Nothobranchius furzeri: one gene and its partners. The protein of the gene in region 1 interacts with the protein of each later gene in a pairwise test. Links are inferred from orthologs where the notes say so. Each region holds a gene or a part of one and is shown in the gene's direction. Other genes may lie near its edges.

Region 1 (4,291 bases):
GAGTGACAGATTATAATTAAAAATAATGAAATAAACGTTTTTTTCAGTGTTCCACACCTTTAATCAAGTAATTTGCAAAAAGAAATTATAAATTACAGAAACATTGCAAATGTTTAAACTGATAATATCCATCCATTTTCTGAACCCACTTGTCCACATAGGGTCGCGGGGGGTTGGTGCATATATCCAGCGGTCAACGGGCAATTAGGCGGGGTACACCCTGGACAGAGTGCCAGTCCATTGCAGTAAACTAATAATATTTCAGTCCAAAAAGATAAATATCAGTGCATGCTAAATGAGTTTTTTCATAGTTGTTCAAATAATATATATAAATAAGATATACTTTGCTGATGCAAAGCTTCAGGTATATGCATAATATGCTGTAAAGAAATTTGATTAACAACAACAGATTATTTGACATTTGAACCCTAAATATGTGTGCGTTTTTCTGCTCTGATGTTGAACTATAGCCTATATTATTTTTTATTAATTAGAAAAATAAACATTACATTGTTAACTTTGTGGTTAATTTTTAGTTAAAGGCAGAATTGTTCGTTTCCTGTTGAACTTGATGGATGAATTATTAATTTTTGTATTAAGTGTTGTTTTTATCCATGGTTTTTATCCAGTATGTATATGAAAAGCTGTTTTCCGGACAAAGGCGAACCTAATATTGTCTGTAATGTGGTTCTTTGACTAAAATGTCTCTGCTTCATTCATGTTTATGTTTCCTCTCCTTTCCTCTCGCACGCGCCTCTTCTTTCCCATTCGCCCAACCCCCATCACACAGCAGGCTCCGCCTTTCCCCTTCACTCTACGTAACAGCCGCTAGAGAATCATGGGAGTTGTAGTTCCGGCCGCCTTCGCATGTTCGAGAAGGCGAGGCTTCGTCAAAATACAACTCCCATCTGGACCCTCGCACGCCGAGCCTGCTCGTCCAATCTGAATAAGTGGGAGGAGCGCGTCCGCCCACAAAAGCCCGAATAACCCCTAAAAAATCAATTCAGCTCGAATTAAAGGGAATTCGCTACAAATACAAACAGCAGGGACTGCCGGTGTTCGATGCGCCACGGACGGCGACGAGGCGTCCCGGTGTCGTGTGTCGGGGGGAGCAGCGGCGGTGACAGGCAGCAGCAGCGAGGAGGGTGTTGTCCTGATGCTTAAATGGAAGTGGGTGGGCCTCCATGGTCACACACTGCCAACTCCTCCGAAGATATCACTCTGACAAGCACAAATTAGCTCTTTTATGGACTGCCTGCTCGGGAAAAGGGACGCAGGAACGAGCTACGAGGCGTCCGTGGGAGCGGGGACGATCACCGCACTCCCCGTTGTCTCCGTTATTTTTCAGGCAGGTCGAGTGTAAACGCGCTTGGCACCGCCCTTCCTGGCTGGTGGGTGGTTTCGTCAAACGGGCAGATCCGCTACGGCCCAGAGCTGAACGTATAGGCCGTCCTCCGCCTCTGTACCCGGCCGGCCTTCCACCGCGAACTACACCCTCTCCCTCCCGGTATATTAATGCGTTATGAGCGGTAGGTACCCTCCCCCTCTCCGTCTCCACCCCTCTCTCCGTCTGACAGATAGATAGGAGGCTGCATGCCCCTTTGGTACTGATGAGGTTATGCTGTCTCTGCTCTTTATTGATCACCTTTGTTGTGTTAAACCTCCTTTTAGTCCACATCAGATTTACCTGCTTCTGACTTGGTAGAATCATTCCAGAAATCCTGGAATGACAGAATTACTGTTCTGGAATTATACTTTCTTTCCACAGACTCAAAGAAGGAATCAGCTGGAACTGAAGGAGGGAAAGCATCTAAACGGGCTAAAAGTTCTGGATCACAGGTAAAGCCGTGAAAGTTTATTGTAGTTCATTAGTTTCTGACTTGCCTGTAGGCCAAAAATGCAACCCCCCACCCCCCCTTTTTCAACCAGCCAGACACCTCTGGGGGCGTTTCTCTGGTGGATTTCACTTCCTGCTTCTGTGCCTCATGAATAAGCTTTCACACTCCAGCAGCTGTACTTTGGAATCGTGTGTTTGAATGAAGATCTTCTGTGTGAAAGTCGTTTTTAAAGACTGAGTAGAGGTTATATAAACATTATTTAGCCACAGCGGTCGTACTGACGCACACCTTTGGTTGCTGGCGAACGTTAGAGGCTCTGTTGGTTTTCCTCATGCTCTCATGGTTGTTTGGGTCTTTTTTGAGTGTCAGAGGTGCAGCTTCTGAATTCGCCTGCGACCTAGTTCTTTTACAAAGAAGCAGAGAAGGCAGCATTTTTTTCCAGTGTTCTGAGAAAAGAGAAATGTGGTTCTCACACGCCCACCCACTCGCTTCCTGTAATACCGCCCACTTCCACTGACAGCTCTGTCTCTAAGCTCACCGTTTCCTTTTGCTCTACCCCTCGATAACTCTGTCTTTTTTCTCATCTATAATCGATAGCGTGACCTTTGTTTCATCTTTGTTCGTTTCGTTCTTATTGCTTCTTGTTGTCTGTGCTTCTCATCTTGGAACTCCTCTCCATCACGCCTCCTCCCTCTTTCCGTTTCCTCCAGGATTCCTCTCAGCCCTCACCGCTGGCTCTGCTCGCAGCCACCTGCAGTAAGATCGGAGGGCAGGGGGGAGCAGAAGGGGCCCAGGCAGGAGCCCAGCAGATCCAGGTCCAGGCTGGTCAGATCCAACTACAAGCAGGTCAGATAGTGGTGGACGCAGCTGGGGGTCAGGCCCTGGTGCCCCAGCAACTGGAACTGGTCCCAGCTCAGTTCGCAGGTAACAGCTGGCAGGTCATCACGGCAGCTCCAGCGATGGCCAAGGAGAACACGAGTCAACCTGTTGCTGTGACAGTGGCCACCACGCTGGTCAACGACAGCTCACCTGCGGGGCGCAAGGTGAGTGGATTTCAGAAATCTGTTGATTTTGGGAAAATCTTTGTTTTTTTTTCTGTTTGCTAAACTGTTTCTGTTTTGCAGGTGAAGGCAGCAGGTGGGACGAACAGCGTAGCAACCAGTCAGCCGCAGCAGCAGTTCCAGATCATTCAGGTTCAGAACCTGCCCAGTGCTGGAGGCGGAGTCCAGTATCAGGTCATCCCTCACCTGCAAACTGCAGATGGACAGCAGATCCATATCAGCCCCCAGCCGGCTTCTATCGGGTCTCTACCTGAGCAGGTTCAGCTCATCCAGACCCCAAACTCAGGCCAAACCCAGGCTATCATCCACCCGGCCAACCAGCAGGCTATCCTACCAAGCACAGCCAATCAGACGGTCCCACTCCAGATACGTCCTGCACAGTCTTTCCCACTTCAGCTGCAGACGCTGCAAGGCTCCCAGACTCCTGTTATGACCACGGTCCCCATAAACCTTGGTGGCATGACCCTGGCTTTGCCCGTGATCAATAATGTTGGAGGGGGCGGGGCTGTGCAGCTCATCCAATCAGCAGATGGCACCTTCTCTGTTGCTAATGGAAGCCAGATGGTGACAACAGCCATGTCTGGTGGAGCTCCTGCTGCAGCTGGATCCGCACCAACTCCAACCGAAGGTGACGGCGTTCCTGATGGGAGTCAGGTGGTTTCTGCTGGACCCGAGGACGCATCAGTTGAAACCAAAGTGCAGAGCAGCGAAGCTGACTCTCAAAGCCAGAACCAAGCCAACGGACTCCAGAACCAGTCAGAAACACAAGGAGCCATCCAGCAGGTGATTGTTGGCCAGGTGGGACACCAGCTGGTGCAGCAGATCCAGCTGCAGCCTCAGGCTCAGAGTCAGGGTCAGATACAGGGACAGCAGCAACCTCAACACATTCAGACCCTCCAGCTGGCTCCGGGACAAACCCTGCAGCCCATCCAGGCTTTCCAGAATCCAGCCCAGGTTCTCATTCGTGCTCCGACCCTGTCAACTTCAGGGCAGATCACCTGGCAGACGCTGCAACTTCCCGGAGGAGTGTCCCTGCAGGGTGGCCTGGGTACAGCTGTGCCACAGCAGCTGACTCTGGCCCCGGTGGCTGGTGGGACGGCAGTCGGTGGTGGAGGGCTGGTTTCCCTCGGTGGAGCCCCATTAACACTGAGCACAGCCCAGATCAACCCAGGCTCAGGTGTGCAGACAGTCAGCATCGCAGGACTGGGCACAGCTGGAGTCCAGGTGCAGGGTGTACCTCTCACCATCACTGGTCTGCAGGGTGAGAACAAAGAATCTGTCAGATTATAGCTGACAGCTGTTACTGTCACTGTCATCATCTTTTTTTTTATTCATCTCTAGGTCAACCACAGGGTCAGGATGGGGTCAAGGTTCAGTCCTCTCCTTTGACCG
Region 2 (3,648 bases), on another chromosome or scaffold:
TGTTTATGTTCTGTATTCGTTCAACTCCAGAAAGTGGTTCACACTTCTTTACTTTACTGTTTTACGTGGCAACGGTAGCTCAGGGATTAGGAGTTCAGCATTGCAGGTTCAAACCCATGTTCGTGCAGTCACGTTAAGTCATTGTGTGCTTGGGCAAGGCATTTCACCATCTTACCTGCTGGTGGCACTCGGCAGCCTCGCCTTCGTCAGTGTGCACCAGGGTGTGTGTGTGTGTGTGTGTGTGTGTGTGTGTGTGTGTGTGTGTGTGTGTGTGTGTGTGTGTGTGTGTGTGTGTGTGTGTGTGTGTGTGTGTGCTTGTGTGTGTGTGCCTGTCTCAGAAAGGCGCTACACACGTGCAGGTCATGTTTTATTTACCTTGATGTAATACTACAAATTGACCAGCGGGTGGTGCTAATGTTCTTTGTATTGAAGCTGTGCAGATCGATAGACACTTCCTGAGTTTCTTCTGGCACATTTTTCATCTAAATCCTTTTTTAAAGAAAGCTCTTCATAAAAACGAGAAGCTTGTGTATTAACATGTTCCTCATACCAAACAGAGAAGTCAGGGGGAAGAAAACGCAGAATTACTTTTGTAAAATTTAGTAAATTTGGAGTCATTTCTTTTACAACCAGTAAAACTTGCTCCCGTTTTTTTTTTTTGTTTTTTTTTTTATATCAGGACCAGTCGGCATGGCAGCTGCTGCTGCTGTGGCAACCGGTAAAAAAAGAAAAAGACCTCACATCTTTGAATCCAACCCCTCAATCCGCAAGAGGCAGCAGACTCGTCTGCTCAGGTGAGTTTCTCCGAGAAGCCCCCGCCATCTTTTAAACAAACAGTTTAACATGAATGAAAATAGCTTCAACCACCCGACATCTCTCATGTGCAACTTTAGATCTGTTAAAGGAGGTGAAAGATGATGGTTTGTTTACAGGAAACTGCGAGCCACGCTGGATGAGTACACCACCAGAGTGGGCCAACAGGCCATAGTGTTGTGTGTGTCTCCATCTAAACCAAACCCTGTGTTTAAGGTGTTTGGTGCTGCTCCTCTGGAGAACGTGGTGAGCGTCTTTAGCGTTGCACTGTGACATTTCTCTATTTGCTGGAATAACTGTGACAAAAGCCATTATGGTTAAAGCTTCCTTCTGGAGTATTTCTCTTATCCAATGGCACCATCTAGTGGCTGACAAGCGTATCACACAAAAACGCTGTTGCTCTGTTTTTTAAGATGGCGACTTCACGTTTCTGTTTATAAATGTGCTTCTGTAGCCGACAAACAGCTAAAACATGTTGTTTTACGAGTATTATTCTCATGTCATGTTGTGTTCTCGTATATTTATATTTTAGAGACTTTCTTGTCTGTGAAAAGTTCATCAACGCTGCATCAGCCGAGGTATTCCTTAAATGTGAAGGGTCTAAGCGGTAGTCTAACGCTATTGGTTAGTTCTGGTCGGCGCTCAGTTTCCTATTGCGGGGAGCTCTGCCGGGCACAGGGTGTGCTTAGCAAAAAAAAAAAAAAAGACGTATTGCTCATATTATATCACAGTACATGATAAGATAATCACTTTTACAGATCTCTGACAAATCGTACATTATTTCTGAAAGAGGAAAACTCCGGAAAGCAGCTTTAATGGTGTTCTGATCCTGTCAACATCCAAAAACTCCAAAGGTGTCTGAGATGATTGTGTCCTGGTGGCTAGGTGAGAAAGTATAAGGGCATGCTGTTAGATGACCTGGAGAACGCCCTGGCTGAGCATGCTCCTGCATGTGGAGAGATGAGCTCGGAGCTGCCCCCCCTCACCATCGATGGCATCCCCGTCTCCGTGGACAAGATGACCCAGGTGAGACCTCTTTACAATATAAGGTACATAGCCAGAAGGTGATCAACTGGTCACATTTACCATTAAATGGCTGTTTTTGTTTTGCAGTGAAATTCTAAATATTAAATTAATGCTACCAGTAGGGGGCGCTAGCTCCCAATAAACCTAGAAAAATACAATCATGTTTCATTTGTAGGATAAAAAAAAGCCTAGACAGTGAGAATAAATGCTTATTTTATAGTTTATCATCACTGCCTAATGTTCTTTTTCCTTTATGTGAGCAATGATTTTGTTTGGTAAGCATATGAATAAAAGTTAGAGTGGCTCAGGCACATTTCTGATTCGTGAGGGGTGTCAGCACTTTAACATAAGTAAAACCTCCTCTTTCCCAGAGAGGAAGTGCAGAGTTGGCGGCTCTTCCACTGCAGCATTGGCACCACTGGCTGCCTGAGCCCTCGGTTCACTCCAGGGATGCCGGCTTGTTTACTCTACCGTCCCCGTGCTGCTGACGCACTCTGGATAATCATCAGAGTAGCCGGCATGATGGTGGCCCTCAGAGATGGCCCACAGCCCAGGGAACGTGGCAGCCAATCCCGACGCCGGAGAGCTCCTGGGAGGCTGAGTGTTAGTCGGTGCTTGTTTTTCTGGAGCTTGTAGGATGAGATTAATGGGAGTCATTTGTTGCCTCATTTGCCATTTAGTAAAACCAGGTAGAACGGTTTGTTCTAAAGAAGAAAAAAAAACTAAAAAGATTGACAAACAGGACTTCTTAATCTGTAACGGATTTTGGATTTTGCACATACAGCCAAAATCCCCGTCCCTGAAGTTACATGGAGCATGTGTAGCAGGTGATCCCAGGTCTAGCCTGAGCCCATAATTACCGCCTAGCCTTGTTAAGTTCAGAGACCCGGCAACATAGCTGCTCTCCCAAACTCTGATTGGACCACTGCTTTGAGGATTAAGATTGGGGGTTGGGGCAGTCGCCATGAAGGCAACATGCCACTTAACTAACTAGCCACTTTAATTAGGCCATCTGGCCTCACACGCAAACATCCGCATCACCCACAGGTGGAAATGCAAGAATCCCTTTGCTACTAAGTCCTTGTCCTTGTCTAATCCAAGCTGCCATCTCACTGTTTGCTAAGTGGGAGCTGTAATACATCAGATGCAGTTTCTGTTTGGTGATTAAGCTTTGAGCCTCCATTTTCTAGCGAGATCCATTTTGTCGTGTTTCGTCGTTTAGTGCACTGAGATGCTGAGTGCATGTAGCTTGTGACTGTGAGTTGGAAAGGGGGGTCTAGCAGGCAAGAGGAAGGGATTTATTTCTCCCAGAACCAAATTTAGCCCATGATGTCAAGGTAGGCAGACTCTGCAGAGACTCATGGTGCAATATAATCCCCCAGTGATGCATGCATATTACCAGGACACGGAGGACATTGGCTCTAAACCCTGCTGCAGTGTGTTGGTGGTTGTGCATCTGAAAGTGTTAATGCCAGGTTTCTGAAATATGGAGAAAATTAGAAGATCTTACTTTAAAAAGGCTATACATGACTCATTTTCATCCTTAGATTTTTCCTAACAATTTCTCAGTTTGATCACAAAGCAAACAGACCCATGGGGAATGGACTGGAGCCTTTGTTGGGACGGGTTCTCGTGGTGTCAGTTTGGCTCCTCAGGCTGGAGCCACAGCCATAGATCGGCCCTCAAATAACCACGGTCTCCTCTTTTGGAAATACTGTTTCTATTTGTGGGCCTTGACCACCTCAGCAGGTGCACGATCAATACATGTCTCCTTCTGCAGACCCAAGTGGGTGTGTGTTCGCATGTGTG
Region 3 (3,648 bases), on another chromosome or scaffold:
TGCAAAGAAGGCACAGTGCAAGAAAAAGGGGCTGAGCCATAAGAAAAGAAAAGAGGGAGGCAAGGAGAGCTGTTTGCCTAAACCCTGTTGGCTTTCCCAGTGTTCGTATCCCAGTGTTGTTCAGCAGACCGTGTGGTGAACACCGCCACCGTGTCTGTGTGCGCCTGTGGTTGCATTGAACTGTGCTCACTGCTGACCAGCGGAGAGTGAAAACAGGGAGGGGTGGGAGGAAGAAGCCGGCGCTGGACATCCTGTCGGTGGGCTTGCCCAATCCAGGCAGCTTTACTTGACAGGTTCAGCAACCATGCTGGAAAATACAGGTGGAACGAGAGCGGGTGAGTTTTTCATCAGGCTGTAATGGAGCTCAGCGGGGATTTTAGTCGGTCGCTTTAACATCCAGATCTCACTGGATTTGTGTTACTCTATTGTAAAATCAGCTTGTATGTTTGCTCTGTTTAATTCAAAAACTGGTTCTGCTGCTTTGAGGGGCGAATGTGTCTAAAGGTCTGATTTAAATATTAGGAATATCATGCAAAGCTGGGAGGTTAGATCACCAGTAGGTGTGACTGTATCTCATTATGTATCCTTCTGGCTCTTTCAGATGTTAAAGTAAAGTCAGAAACTAAATGTGAAATGGAAATTGGTGACGGGAACCCCGGTGAGTGACCTGAATATTCTCCTTCCCCTTCACAAAAGAATGTTGAATATTGAAATACATTCAACAGGTTTTATAACATTTATGCTGCATAAACCAAATGTATACATAAACCAGCTTCCCACTGTGTCTATAGACTTTTAAATACCTAGCTGTATTTATTTATTAGTGATATTTTGAAGTAGGCGCATCACAGCACAGCTTTTCCCTAACTTCATGACTGTTTTTATCCTCTTGTTTAAGAATGAATACAAATGTGATGATTCCCCACATTTAAATAAACAGATAAATGCAGCTGTTGCATATGTTTTCTTTTAAAAATGTTTTATCCAGTTTCTTTTTCCTGAAGTAATCCTCCACCAGGTTGTTGACGTTCCTTGTTTTCTCCATCCAGCTCGTTTCATTCGGTTTTCCTTTTCCTCAGGAATCCAAACCAATGGATTGGACTTTCAGAGGCAGACGGTGCCAACCACAATTGCTAATGCACATGCACAACTCCTCTCACAGGTAACGCATGCACACAGCAACACTATCGCCTATCTTCATTACTCCTTTTCCTGCTTAATTAAAGCAGCAGATGTGGAGCAGATGTTTAATTGCAGCTGCACATACATATAGATATGGAAAGAAAAATCATGTGACTACATGTAAAAAATGTGCAGTCCTTTCATGTTCACACAAATATTCACAAGCTTTAGAGTTCATTTAAATGAGCCAGGCACTCTGTGTCGCCTGGCAACTAGGCAGATTAATCAACCCTGTATGCTAATTAGCTGCTCTGCGGTTGCTCGGAAACAGATGGCCAAGAATATGCAAATCTATGCAGAATTTACATGCACTGCATAACAGTTATTTTAATTAGCATCTCGACTCTCCCCTCCCTTCACTTCACTCTTGTCTCTGAAGGCTGCGGCACATTTTAAACACCCACTTTATTGCAGCCTTTTTAATTTAAATTCCTCTCACTGCTTTAAGACTAAAGGCACATTCAGACCAGGCACAGAAATTAGATTTATAGTTTCTTATTTTATGGAGGATGTTCTTTATGAAAAATTCTCCTGAAAGGCTTTTAATTAAAGCCACTAGCATCTTGTTCTTATTGCTAGAATAACTGCTATGACACCAAAATAAAGCGCCCCCCCCCCTCTACTTTACCTTTACTAGTCTAAGTTGGAAGACTCTGGTGCTCTTTCGACCTCCGTCCAGCAGAGCATACTGCCTCAAACCCAGCTAATGTTGGCCGGGGGACAGATTGCTGGAGTAAGTGTGTGTCCCCCCTCTGCTCTTGGTTATGGCCTGCTCATTACATGCATCCCATAATTCCTCAACCCGACTCAAAGGCAGCTGATGAATAGGTGTCTTCTCTGCCTGCTTGCCTGCTCATCCCTGTGGTTTTTAGTTTACATCCAGATTCCCACACAACAGAAAACGTTGTGGCGTGTTTGAAAAATTCATCATTGAGACATGTGACACTTTTCATTTCTACGTTTCCATGTTTTCTTGAGGCCCTGTTGTAGTTGAGTGGACAAAGCGGCTGCTGCTGTGCAGGAGGGAATGTTGCATGTAGATTTGTGTTTGCACGACATCAACATGCTCATTTGCCTGGCCCAGATGCATGACTACGTTTTCTCATAAAGAGAGAGCCAAAGTTTCAACTAAACTTCCATACCTTTGTGAAAAGTTGAATTCCTGTGTACCTGAATACTTTGTCATGAGAAATGGGGAAAAAAAATCAGGTGTAGAGCAAAGCATAATTTTCAAATGAACTTTTCGCGGGTATTGAAGTCTAAGGCTGGATGGTCTCCTTGATTTGTGTTTATATCAGGAACACAGTAACACCTGTTTTGTGTTGTTCAGTTGTCCCTGACCCCGCAGCAGCAACAGCTGTTGATCCAACAGGCCCAAGCTCAGATCCTGGCTGCAGCCGTGCAGCAGCATTCAGCTAACCAGCAGAACAGCACCACTGGGGCCAACATCTCTGCCACCGCAGCCACACCCATCACCCAGCTGCCCCTGTCACAGCCCATACAGATTGCCCCTGTAAGCCAGATTTGTTTAAACGTCAGTTTCTGTAAATCTCAGTACATGGTCTTTTTCATAATGTGTTTTATTTTTATTTTTTCCTGCAGCAGCTTCAGCAACAGAATCTCAGCCTACCCCAGTTTGTACTGGTTCAGCCTGGCCACCCAATCGCCACGCCACTGCAACCCACCCAGTTTATCATCTCACAGATGCCGCAGGTCCAGCAAGGTGAACAAAACACTCAACAGCAGAATTGGGTAGAAAGGGTTTAAATGAATGAATGAATTGTTGTTTAAACTCTTTATGTTTTTGTCCCTGAAGCCCAGAGTCTTCTAACTCAACTACCTCAAAGCCAAGCTAACCTCCATCCGACTCAGCCAAGCATCACTCTTGCAACTCAGGTTTGTAACGATGCAACGATCTTGTCTAAACTTTAAAAATGCGTTGACGATTTTTTCCCAATAAGTTTAACTTTTATGGATTTTCTCAGGTTTCCTCCTGTCTTTTAAGGAGTTTCTAAGCAGTCATATTTGTTCTGTTTCCACTCCCTCCAGCCTGCATCTCCGTCCCGTACCACGGCAACCACAAATATTCAGACCCTGCCCCACAGTCAGACACCACCCAAACGCTTGGACACCCCCACCCTGGAGGAGCCCAGCGATCTGGAGGAGCTGGAGCAGTTTGCCAAGACTTTCAAGCAGCGACGCATCAAACTGGGCTTCACACAGGTTCTTTTCACTTTAAACACCTGTTTTCACATGTAGATTTGTAGAAATGTATGAATGGTTGAGCTAGTTTTATCGCTTTAAGTATTCCTTATAATAAAAATAATCTCTATAATGTTGCTAACATTTTTTAAATAAAATATGATTTATGAGTAAAAAGTCATTTTATGCCTCATTACTTTAACTTGATAACTGACATTTTGTACCAAAGCTAGACTGCAGGTCAGAAATTGAGTTCCTGCATTT

What was found.
Region 2: the proteins of sp4 (region 1) and nrf1 interact in binary tests that used the Homo sapiens proteins (3 or more experiments, as listed by UniProt). The two-hybrid records come from large-scale screens. The link is inferred for Nothobranchius furzeri from reciprocal best matches to the Homo sapiens genes SP4 and NRF1.
Region 3: the proteins of sp4 (region 1) and pou2f1b interact in binary tests that used the Homo sapiens proteins (3 or more experiments, as listed by UniProt). The two-hybrid records come from large-scale screens. The link is inferred for Nothobranchius furzeri from reciprocal best matches to the Homo sapiens genes SP4 and POU2F1.

The regions. Positions count from the first base shown.
Region 1 is NC_091751.1:28,246,468-28,250,758, forward strand, and holds the start of sp4 (transcription factor Sp4), read left to right. Parts: upstream 1-1,351; 5' UTR 1,352-1,522; coding exon 1,523-1,529; intron 1,530-1,768; coding exon 1,769-1,839; intron 1,840-2,548; coding exon 2,549-2,881; intron 2,882-2,962; coding exon 2,963-4,160; intron 4,161-4,240; coding exon 4,241-4,291. UniProt on the Homo sapiens protein: Binds to GT and GC boxes promoters elements. Probable transcriptional activator.
Region 2 is NC_091741.1:47,346,076-47,349,723, forward strand, and holds part of nrf1 (nuclear respiratory factor 1), read left to right. Parts: intron 1-679; coding exon 680-794; intron 795-932; coding exon 933-1,059; intron 1,060-1,698; coding exon 1,699-1,839; intron 1,840-3,648. UniProt on the Homo sapiens protein: Transcription factor that activates the expression of the EIF2S1 (EIF2-alpha) gene. Links the transcriptional modulation of key metabolic genes to cellular growth and development.
Region 3 is NC_091754.1:25,731,932-25,735,579, forward strand, and holds part of pou2f1b (POU domain, class 2, transcription factor 1b), read left to right. Parts: intron 1-156; exon of another isoform or gene 157-304; coding exon of another isoform or gene 305-335; intron 336-601; coding exon 602-658; intron 659-1,079; coding exon 1,080-1,162; intron 1,163-1,819; coding exon 1,820-1,915; intron 1,916-2,512; coding exon 2,513-2,695; intron 2,696-2,784; coding exon 2,785-2,905; intron 2,906-2,998; coding exon 2,999-3,078; intron 3,079-3,231; coding exon 3,232-3,405; intron 3,406-3,648. UniProt on the Homo sapiens protein: Transcription factor that binds to the octamer motif (5'-ATTTGCAT-3') and activates the promoters of the genes for some small nuclear RNAs (snRNA) and of genes such as those for histone H2B and immunoglobulins.